Oryzias latipes: one gene and its partners. The protein of the gene in region 2 interacts with the protein of the main gene of each other region in a pairwise test. Links are inferred from orthologs where the notes say so. Each region holds a gene or a part of one and is shown on either strand. Other genes may lie near its edges. The genes, in order: nkapd1, bend7 and probable global transcription activator SNF2L2.

Region 1 (3,754 bases), on a different chromosome or scaffold from region 2:
GAAGGTAAAATGCGTTTACCTCACGTTGTCTTTGAACGGCAGCTGTTTCGGATGGGACATCTGCATCTCCCAGCCTCGCATTTTCCACATCTCCATCTCCTCCTGGATCTGCAGGAAGCAATGATGTGTGCAGAAACACCTAATGTGACACCTGGATTCACACAATTACACGAAGACAGTCTCGTGGCAACACTTTTATTTTTTTGTGTGCTTTTCATTAATGGAGTGGATAGACTACACACTTCAGAGGAAAGAAAAAGAGAAAACCCCAAAGCGATTTGTTTCAATTTATTGAAGAACCTGATATAGCATTGATTTTTCCGTCAACACCCATCAGCAGTACAATAGAAAGATCCAACAGGACAGTGCAGTCTTCAGGCCAAAAAAATGGAAGAAATGAGGCTTTTAAACAACTGCCGTTTTTCAAAATGTGGGGCTGAAAAGAGAAGCACCTGGAAAGCAGTGAGCCATCCTCCCATATGTAAGTAAATCTAAACCGCCACAGCCAGCTCAAAGAACAGTTTTTAGTAGGCCTGCACAATATCACAAATTTATTGTTATCGTGATATCATATCGCAAAAGACGGAGAAAATTGCAATAAATGTTTACCTTAAATGTGCCAAAAAAATCTTATGGCTTAAGCTTAAGCTTGAAGAATTTATCGAATCAACTAATTCCATTTATGCATTTGACCAATCAGATGCACTTCATCACGATGTTGACCAATCGGATGAAGCCCTTTGAAGTTAGATGTTCATCTCCTATATAGATGAGGGTCATTTGGAGTATAATTTAATGTATAATATTTATATAATATAAAACTACTGTTTCAGTGAAATGGAAATGATGTATTTGGTTGTTTTGCTTTTTGTTCATGTACCACAAGTTATATCGTCATCGCAATATTGATCACTAAAATCCAGAGTTTTCCTCATATCGTGCAGCTCTAGTTTTTAGCCTTCTTTTTTTTTTAATCTCCAGTTTTTCTCCATTGACTGAAAGTTGGTGTAATTCTAATGTTTCCATCTGAAGGTCGGTCTGAGAAACTCCCAAGATTTGACATTTTCTACCTACAGTATTAACATACTTTTGTTGCCAGGTCAGACTTTCAAAAGAACTTGTGGGATTTGTTATGTCACTAAATCACTTTGTGAAAACTTTAGCATTGAACAAAAAAAATATATATACAAGTCTATGTCTATATATATATATATGTCTATATATATATTGCTGATACAGGATATTCACACACAAAAAGAGTCAACATGACTTTAGAGACCAGAGAAGTTACAGCCCATAAACAGCAGATCACACTGTAATAAACTGAAACTTCAACACAGTGATATACCATATTCTGCAACAATATGTCAAACTTTTCTTAGTTGTTTCTCTATTTTTTCAGTTGCTAACTTTTTTGGTGTTTAGTCCTTGTTCTGTAGATCTTTGAGAGTTGAAAGTTTTTACTCAATGGCACAGAAATGAACTTTATTTATTAAAGCTCAAAATGATCAAATCTGCCAAGACTTGTAAACGCTGAAAAAATAGTTTTTTGTGAGCATAGTGATGATGTATCTAAGGGTAAGCATGGTTTTTAAATACAAATACAAAAAAACAATAATAACAATAATTACAAATGTGTGTCGCAAGTTAATAAAATGAAACAGAAAATCCTCATATCTTTATCCATTGTTAAAATTACATTACAGTGGCGAGTATACTATATTACACACATTCAGATATGGTAGTTAGTAAATGTTAGGAGTCTCTATATTTGTCCTGCCCTGTTAGAGCATTATGTGTGGAAGAATCTGTAAATGATAAAGGAATCATGACAAATCAAAAACGTAGAGCTACTATGTATCCTTCCACACAGTGAGGTCACAAAAACGGACTAGCTTTTTGGAGAGAAATTGTATTTTTGAATTCGTTTTATTTTTTCTTTTGCCACTGTTCTGTGCTTCATATAATCTCAAATAAAATGCACAGTGAATAATTTAAACGACACGGTACTAAATTGTTTTTCTTTTTAATTATTGTTTTTAATTTATTAATTTTAAGTCATCTCTGTGACACGATATGATAAAAGTCTAATTATTTTGTTCCAGAAAATTTACCTAAGCAGCTTGGCGATCAATCTAAAATAGGCTAATAATTCGAAAGCTACCGAATTTCTAAGTAAACAGTCAAAAATGTTTGGCTTAGGCGCAAAACCAAACATTTTTGGCTGTTTTGGGGATTTAGCTTCTTGTTCAAACACACACAACAACGAACATACCTTGTTGTGTGCATCTGTATGCCGGATGACATTCCGCAGCAAGGTCTTCCCCGCCGGCTGCTTTGACATGATGACACCTGAAATAAGGACCCATATGAAACACTAAGTACAGTGCAGGCAGGAGAAGTACGAGAATAAATAAAAAATGATTTCAACGCGACGCAACCATGAAACCATAGCTCCTCGAAAGTCTCCCCTGCTAGCTTAGTTGGCTAGCTACTGTCGGCTTTCCTCTCAACCCAAAATCTGTTTATGATCAATATAGCTAAATTTAGCCAACAGTTACATAATTAAAAATCTGTAACATCGTATCGTAAACGTACGTTAAATAATTTACTCGTGAAACTATAAAGTTAAGAGGAATAAATCGTTTTGGCTAACCTCTGTTAGTACTTCCGCTGAAAAGTCGTTTGCCTGTCGCTTATTTTACGTCACTGGGGGAAAAAAAGAAAAGAAAGAGAGCCTGAATGATGATTGGCGTAGGAACACATCAATCAAATTGGTAACCAATAAAACTGTAAGATTTGACCCACGGTAAAATTGTATCAAGTCAATTGAAAGGGAAAAAAAAAGTTAATATAATAATATTTGTTGTAGTAATAGTAGTATTAATCCTTGGGGATTATCAATGTATTTTTCATAAATGAATTAAAAAATACTCCAGTACGTTATCTAACTGTAAATAAATATGTTCGTATTTGTTTACATCCAATAAAGGACAATATCTGTCACACTAACTAACAAAACGAAGACTTGCATAAAAACTGTATAGCCGGTGCTAATTGAAGTTTTGGTGACGTGCAGATTTTTGCCTGACATCCCTTCAACATTATATTTTTAGCAGCAGAAATTTCAATTCTTCATCCGCCAAAGATTGTTTAACAAAACAGTCTTTTTCTTTTCAATTAAGTGTCATCACTGTGTCCTCCTCCGTCCTGTTTGCTGCAGTGTCTGGGAGTCCTGTTTCTTCCTAATTAAAAAAATAAACAATTTCCTTATTCCATATGGCAAAACTCATTATTTTCTATAAAACCCAAACTGCTTTTGCAATAAGGTACAACCCAAAGGAGGATTGAAGTGATATTACACATTAAATATTGTTTTAAAAAAGTATCTCTTCTAAAATCAAGAACTATTAAACATGTAAAATGAAAAAAAAAGGACTACTTCTCTGTTTTTAGATGACGTTATTAATCCCACAATGGGGAAATTAATTTATCTTATAATAATAATTTATCTTATAAATTTCCAGACCAGCGAATAAGCTTGAGAAAACTCATTACATTTTGCAATATTTATTGGTCTACTGTGTTGAGTTTCATCTTGGCATACAATTTTTACATTTGCAGACACACGCTACAAAACAGAACACATTTAGCATCACTGTAAGCCTGAGCATTGTTGTGGTTTGTTCCAATCATGCTCTTTAACCATTCTAAATCCACTTTTCAAAAATATTGCACCATTACATGAGTTGCT
Region 2 (3,754 bases):
AACGCAGGTATTTTGCATTAAGGCTAAAAACTGCATAATCATAATTAAAAGACCATTGAGAATGCTTTTAAACAGCTCAAAAGATGATCAAAGTGAGCCTTTCAACAGAAAATTGCCAGATATTTTGGGATCAAAAAATGGAAATAGTCATTTAAAAAATAGAAACTAAAAATAACACAAAAAAAAGAGGGCTCCAAATTAGCTGAATGCATACCAGTTTGCGAAATAGGAGACTGCCAGAGCGGGTGTAGTTGACCAAGATGGAATCTAGCTGAGCTTTAGATATAAACACGTCGTATTCCTCTGCAAGACGGACCTCACTCTGTGATGGAATACAGAACAAAACAATTAGTCGTTCCAAAAATTAAACAGAAATGAACAACTGAAATTCAGAACTGGGTTTAAGAACTGAAGTCAAAAAGGTTGAGACTTCATTGTACAACAATACATTAAGGTCATTTTACATGGCTCAATAAAGATAAAGTTTACACCAGGTGTAACTCAGAAAGAAGCCAGTCTCATGACATTTTGCTTGGAGTCTGTTTAGTCTTTACAGAAATTTTAGATCTTGTGTGTCTTGTAAAAAGTTCTAAAAAAAGCAACTTTCTTATTCTGTTCAACAATTTATATCAATTACTTTACATTTTTGTTTTTTGATAAATTTAGCAAAACATTAAACTTAAATCAACAAACTAAACAAAGTCTAAACTTTCTAAGAAATTTTGCAACAAACTTTACAGAGAAACAAATTAAGGTTTTACCTCTGATGCTTGAGTTTCTTTTGGTTGGCTTAAGGTAGGATTATGAATTTTGCTCACTATTCCTGAATCATTCTGTTGTGACTGTGCCGAAATATCAGGGGAAATGGGATGCATGTTCAGCACTGACGAGTCCAGTTTCTCACATTTTTCCCTCTTTGCAGATTCTGCTGGTGGTGCAGCTTGATGCGCTGAACTTTCCACAGGAGAAAGAACAACTTTTTTACTGCTGGAGACAGTAAGAGGCGCCACCCTGTAGTAAGACTTTCTTTTTCTGTGAAGACTGCGCGGAGTGGAGCCCAGGCTAAAGCGAGGTTGGCATACTGGTGTTGCTTGTTGATGCTTTCCAAAGGATGCTAAATAAATGAAAGACAAAAACCTGTTATGCCTTCTTTATGTTTATCCCAGTGCAATTTGGCCACATTTTCTGACCTTTCTGAGTCTGCATCAGCCTCCTCATGGCACGCAATTCCTGCAATATAGCCTCTAGAGTGCCTGTACAGTTACACATACAGCACGAGCTTTCTTGGACTGCAGGTTGCGCCACATCTGGAAATGCAGAGGTGCTTTAATGAGTGATACGATCCATGCAAACATTGGCAAAGTGGACTTTCTGACTGGAAAAAAATGGTTGAATTGCTGTCTTTGATTTACTAAATGTAAAAAAAACCCTACTTTAATGTCAATTTTAATAGATTTTTCACAGATTGTTTATTGTTTTACCATTTTGTTCATTGGTTTTGCTCACATCCTTGGTTTTGTTGAAAATCCTGAGGGATCTGGAGCGAGTGCTGTACTGGCCATAGTTTGGACCATTGGGGACAGGTATAGATGGGGATGGCACAGAAAGCTCTGAGTGTCCGGTTGACAGCCAGCTGTTGCCTTGATGGTCATCTGGTACCACAGACAGGAATGGAGGCTGGTGAATCCAACTCAGATGCTTATCCTGGGAATCATTTGTTGTGCCGTCACAATCTGCAACAACACGCTGATACACTCGGCCAGTCTTGTCCCTCAGAAGCCTCATCATTCCTGTGATTTGCCTCTTGATCTCAACACCTTCATCTTCCAGCCAAACTGCATTGAGGAAAAATGGGTGTGGGCGCAGGTATAGAAATGGTAAAGTGACAAATCAATGCTCAATCTGACACATACCATCAGACACAACTGCATCTTTAGTTTTGCCATCCTTGCTGCTGGAATTCAGTGAAGAATCATGGTCTGCAAGTAAAACAAAAGGTTGTTGCTGTAAACTTGTGTAAAAAAGCCGCAATGACTGTCAACAAAAGCAGACACCCCCACCCCCCTTCCCATCTCATGCAGAAACCACCACCTGTAGGTTGTATGAAGTAGTTTTCGAGAGAGGCTGCAGCTTTAAAAAAGGTGAACATCCTGCGCTCCTGTTCTGGATGTGCAACAGATCAGAACATCCTTCATTGTCACGATCCACATAGAAGCTGGGGATGACGATTTGAACCCTCCAAACCCAGACATGCCGTGGCCGCCGCTTTTGTTTACGCGCACAGCAGCAGACACACAGCCAGCCAGCCAGACACGCGTCTCCTGCATCCATTCAGCAGCTTACCTTCATCTGCGACCAGTTTGAAGCTTTGCGACTTCCTCCTTCTCCTTCTTTCTCCAAATTCCATCTTTTTCCCGCAGGTCGAGCTGAAATACGCCGTTCAGAACGACCAGCCAGGGACCGAAACCCTGAGTGGAATCACCGTCTGTCCGTTTGCCTTATTAAACAGTTAAATTTCCTCCCAGTCAGCGCGTCCGATCCTTTCACCAGCAGATTCCCAGCCCGAAAAACAGAAGAATATTGTTGAGTGGATCCATTTCCCCCGATATTACTACCCCGACCCTCCCTCTGGTCATGTAAATGAATTGATGATTTTAATATAAGAATTGGTTATATCCCTTTGCGCCACCTGATGGCATGTTTCATTAAAAAGGTCGGCACATATTTGCCAGTCACTTCAGACAAAAGCCAGCGTTTAAATAAAGGCGGTCTAAACCCAAATCGTTGTTTTTCATTTCTCTTCCCCAATTAAATATCCTCTATTTGGTTTAACGGCAATGATAAAAAAAAGACAACTGAAAGCCGGACATTCGACAGCTGGAGCAGAAAACTCAAAAATATAGATAAACGTAATAAATAATGCCAAACAATAAAAGCACTTTGGGTGACCCGAGTTGTAAAGTGCTATAAGTAAAGCTTGATTTGATTAGAAAAATGAAACTTTTGAAAAAGTGAATGAATGAATACACTTACTCTGTTTTAAAGCAGCTGACATACCACAGGATTTCAATTTGACAAAAAAAAAACCTTTTAGAAAAGTAGCTCAAATAATAAAGAGATTTCTTTGGCTTTGGTTCGCAGTATAGTTTTCTGAATTCATCATTTAGAACTTAAAATTATTTGTTTTAATTTGGGCTTTCAGGCTTTTTGAGTTATTGTAAATGGGATGTTCATATCAGCCAACACTTCTTTTTACCTTATGGACAAATGATGGACACAATGAAACAAATAGAAGCAGCAAAAACCCACGTGACTTACTAGCCGATCTAGCAGGGTCTGCAACACAATATCAAAGCAGGAATGGACAAGAACGACCACCATTAAACGAGATAGATTGTGTATAAAGTTTGACAAAAATAAACAGTTTTATTAATTCGGATTGCACGATTTCTAAGTTACTTTCAATCAAGTTACTTCAACACAGATGAAGTAAAATTGCCCCCCCCCGGTCTCCAAAAGATGAACTAAACTGGCTTAACATTTAAATAAATGAGATTGACTAAAAAATAGTTCTAAATAGTTGCCATTATCTTACGGAACCCGTAACGTTTCGCCAATTTTTGTGACAAAGTTTAACACAAACAAGCTGTGGTTTGCTAGGACAAAAACGGAATTTTGTTAAGGAATAATTTAAAAGTTCTCTCTCTCAAAGCTTTCTAGCTTTGTGGTTGTTGTTTTCATATCCTTGCTTCAT
Region 3 (3,654 bases), on a different chromosome or scaffold from region 2:
AGTGTCCTGAAACACAGAGGAGGATAATCGCAGAGAATATTTATCATCCGGATCAATGAATGATGGAGGAAACCGCCTCTTCTACAAGAAATGACGCCAAACCCACACTGCTGCTGGACTGACGCGCCGTGCCAGACGCTCAAATCTGCAGGACCCATGAAGGAGGAACACGGGCTCCTAATGTATGTTATAAAGTCTGCCACGGTACAGGCTACTGATCTGGAAAAAAAACTCTTCATGTTGAGCAATACTCCAATGTTCTTCAGTAAATGTTTGACAAAGCATCAGAAATGTTCCAGAAGGGTTTGGATGAGGAAGGATCGGTGACGGACATCCTTCACCCGCGGGGCTGGAGGTGGTTCTCAGAATTCTGCGGATTCGTGGCTGTCTCTGGTCCCTGACCCCCACCAATATGGGGGGAGTACTGGCTCCACAAACGGTTATTTGTTCTGAATGTGTTGTTAGGCTGAGACTGTCCGCCTGCTGTTGAAGAACCATCAGTTTAGTTCAAACAATAGTTTTTCCCAAATCAGTCAAGTCGTTTAGAGTTTTGTGAAATGACGCCTCTGTTACTCAAAGTCATGCGTGAGTTTTTTTTCCAACACGTCACATTCCAGATGTGTAAAAGTGTAAAGCTGTAAAACCTGCTAAAAATGTCCAGATGTTGCAGCTGACAATCCCACCGTGTTTGGCTGACTCTGTCTGAGTGATTTATGTCTAGTTTGATTTTCAAATCACAGCCTGAAGAAGGTTTACTGATCGTGTCAAACGTTTGGGTCTAAATGAATGAATGATTTTAGCATAATTTACCCAAAATGTTTGTGTTTTGATCCACAATCAAAGAAAAGGGATTTCATCTTCCACAAATGTCTATAAAGGAAACATTTTTCCGGAAGAGCTTTGATCTTCTAACTCAACGTTCCCTATATGGCTACCAAGTCTTTAATATTGTATAATAACTGGGAATGTTTTCCTTTCCAGCCCATGGAGGCCATGACTGACAAGTCAATGACAGAAGCCATGCATTTTGGGCACATGAAGGGTGTGGGGATGAGATCGCTCCACAGCGGGATGGGTCCTCCTCAGAGCCCCATGGACCAGCACAGCCAAGGTAACGGGTCTGAACCGGACGCACCATGAGTCCCATCCATCCACCATGCTCCAACGTGTCACCATTCTCTTCAAGGTTACATGTCTCCACATCCTTCCCCCATGGGAGTCCACGAGCACGCCTCCAGCCCCATGCCAGGAGGTGGAGGTGGAGGTGGACCCACGCCGCCGCACATCCCTCCCTCCCAGTCAGGTCCCATGATGCCCATGGAAGGAGGCATGGCCGGCATGGGCCAGCAGGGCCGCGGACCCTCTGCCTTCAGCCCGGTCCAGCTGCAGCAGCTCAGAGCTCAGATTCTGGCCTACAAGATTCTGGCCCGCGGACAGCCGCTGCCCGAAAACCTCCAGCTGGCCGTTCAAGGCAAAAGGAGCCTACCCACAATGCAACAGCAGCCACCGCAGCAGCCACCGCAGCAGCAGCAGCAGCAGGCGTCGAGTGTGAGCCCCTACAGACCTTCAGGTGAGGATGAGGAAACAAAGGTCAAACAAAAACAATGTAAAGACACCATCGTTAAAAAACAGGCATAAAAAGGAAAACTTACCAAGAAAAAGCCTGAACTGAAAGAGGGAACATACAGTGGAGGTATGGGGGGGCGGGGCTGTGGAACACCTTGTAGGTAAAAAGCAGGACGTTTCCCACCTCCATGAGCACAGTTCTGGGGTTTACAGCTGTAGAGAAGGTGTGGAGGGACTCCTGTGGAACGATCCCGGAGCGCTGGCAGGTCCTCCTGGTGACGAGGTGGAAATCCCACGGAGCTAAAACTGGAGCTCAAAACCTTTTACTGTGATTTGGTTTGTCCAGGTTTAAAAAAGTTCAAACGTTAAAGATGTCATCATGAAGAGCAGCAGCAGAATCTGAAGGAAAAAACCATCATTTATGGCAGGAGTTCTGTTCTAAACCCGCAAAAGATTTGAGGCAGTAAAACGTCTCACAACAGACGTTCTACACTTTTCCCAGACAGACACCAACATTTTCACACTTTTGTTTTAAAACTTTTATAGAAAAATACGTCCAGGATAATAGAATGAAAGCAAAGCTCTGATCCCAGTCAAAGATTTATGTTTGGTAAACTGAACATATTTCACGGCGCAGAGAAGCTTGATTGACAGCCCAGAACGCAGTGCGCTGTTAAAAACACAACAACAAAAACAGAATTGCTCTGAAAAAAGCAGAGAAACGGCAAAAAGTGAACCACAATATCACGAGGGAACTCTGTAATGTTTGCAGTCATCTTTTGGGTTTTACATCCAAACTAATGTGACGGGGATAAAAAGTCTGCACATTCATAATTCTGATTATCAGTTTATTATTTATAGGATCCCCGTTAGCTGTGCTGAGGAGGCAGCTGCTCTTCCTCATAAAAATCCCCAATGCTATTTAATGTGAATCCCAAAAATACACGATGTAAACACGTAAAATTCACATTTTAAATATCATAAATAGAGTTCCTGGACCCTGAACCGTTGTGCTTTAAATCAGTCACACCATCAAAATCTGGATCTGAAAATATGCGGCTCCAAAATGTGACCTCAGTATTTTCATGGAAAAACCAAACTCATCCAACATCTGCTTCTTCCAAAGGGATGCCAATGGCGCAGATGGGCGGCCCCCAGGCCAGCCCCTGCCCGGCGCCTGCCATGCAGGGAGCCAATCAGAGTGCAGCCAAGCCGTGGAGTGATGGTGAGTCTGCTTCCTGCCGGCCTCGGGTCTTAGCGGTGAAACATCTTCTGGCTAAGCAGGCTCAGAAAAGTTGAAGGTCTTTGTTTGACAGGTGGAGAAAATCAGGCCCACGTGCAGAAACACCTCACCCCCGTCTCCAGCGGGCGTCCCTCTCCCGCGCCGCCGCAGACCTCCGCTGTGCCTCCGGGGCCGGCACTGAGCGGCTCGGCAGCTGGACTCCCACCGGGCCAGCAGGTGTCTCCCATGCTGCAGATGCAGCAGAAGCAGAACCGCATCACTCCCATACAGAAGCCCCAGGGCTTGGACCCGATGGGGATCCTGCAGGAGAGGGAGTTCAGGTATGGATGCGCTCGCACACCTCCATGATGCTTCCTCAGTGTTTACAGTGGAGGTTGGTGACCATTTCCTCCAGGAACTCATTAAGTGTCATGCAAAGTGCATTCATGTCAAACGTTCTCAGTTTTCTGAGGTTGGGAGCGTTACTATGGAGGCTGTTTGATCCGTTTTCTCATTAAAGACGTGTGACGCGTGAGGCGCTTTATGTTGTTCATCAGACTCAAAGCTTTAGCTTCTTTTTCATGTCATAGTCACCATTTCAGCATTTCAGACTGGCTTTACTGTTTGACTTATTGTGTTTTAGTATCATTAGGGTTATTTTACCACATCTGTCTTTATACTGTTCTTCAGGCTGCAGGCTCGCATCGCCCACCGAATCCAGGAGCTGGAGAGTCTACCGGGGTCTCTGCCTCCTGACCTGAGGACCAAAGCCACTGTGGAGCTCAAAGCGCTCCGTCTGCTCAACTTTCAGCGGCAGGTACGGCAAATATGTACCAAATATTTGCTATGGATGTTAACGTAAAGCA

Evidence for each region.
Region 1: the proteins of bend7 (region 2) and nkapd1 interact in binary tests that used the Homo sapiens proteins (3 or more experiments, as listed by UniProt). The two-hybrid records come from large-scale screens. The link is inferred for Oryzias latipes from reciprocal best matches to the Homo sapiens genes BEND7 and NKAPD1.
Region 3: the proteins of bend7 (region 2) and probable global transcription activator SNF2L2 interact in binary tests that used the Homo sapiens proteins (3 or more experiments, as listed by UniProt). The two-hybrid records come from large-scale screens. The link is inferred for Oryzias latipes from reciprocal best matches to the Homo sapiens genes BEND7 and SMARCA2.

Annotation. Positions count from the first base shown.
Region 1 is NC_019871.2:11,390,313-11,394,066, forward strand, and holds the start of nkapd1 (uncharacterized protein NKAPD1), read right to left. Parts: upstream 2,765-3,754; 5' UTR 2,657-2,764; intron 2,353-2,656; 5' UTR 2,345-2,352; coding exon 2,276-2,344; intron 109-2,275; coding exon 20-108; intron 1-19.
Region 2 is NC_019864.2:20,636,013-20,639,766, forward strand, and holds the start of bend7 (BEN domain-containing protein 7), read right to left. Parts: upstream 2,681-3,754; 5' UTR 2,408-2,680; coding exon 2,344-2,407; intron 1,980-2,343; coding exon 1,914-1,979; intron 1,836-1,913; coding exon 1,482-1,835; intron 1,308-1,481; coding exon 1,191-1,307; intron 1,115-1,190; coding exon 762-1,114; intron 323-761; coding exon 215-322; intron 1-214.
Region 3 is NC_019867.2:1,061,575-1,065,228, reverse strand, and holds part of probable global transcription activator SNF2L2, read left to right. Parts: intron 1-981; coding exon 982-1,111; intron 1,112-1,186; coding exon 1,187-1,570; intron 1,571-2,692; coding exon 2,693-2,791; intron 2,792-2,882; coding exon 2,883-3,129; intron 3,130-3,478; coding exon 3,479-3,605; intron 3,606-3,654. UniProt on the Homo sapiens protein: ATPase involved in transcriptional activation and repression of select genes by chromatin remodeling (alteration of DNA-nucleosome topology).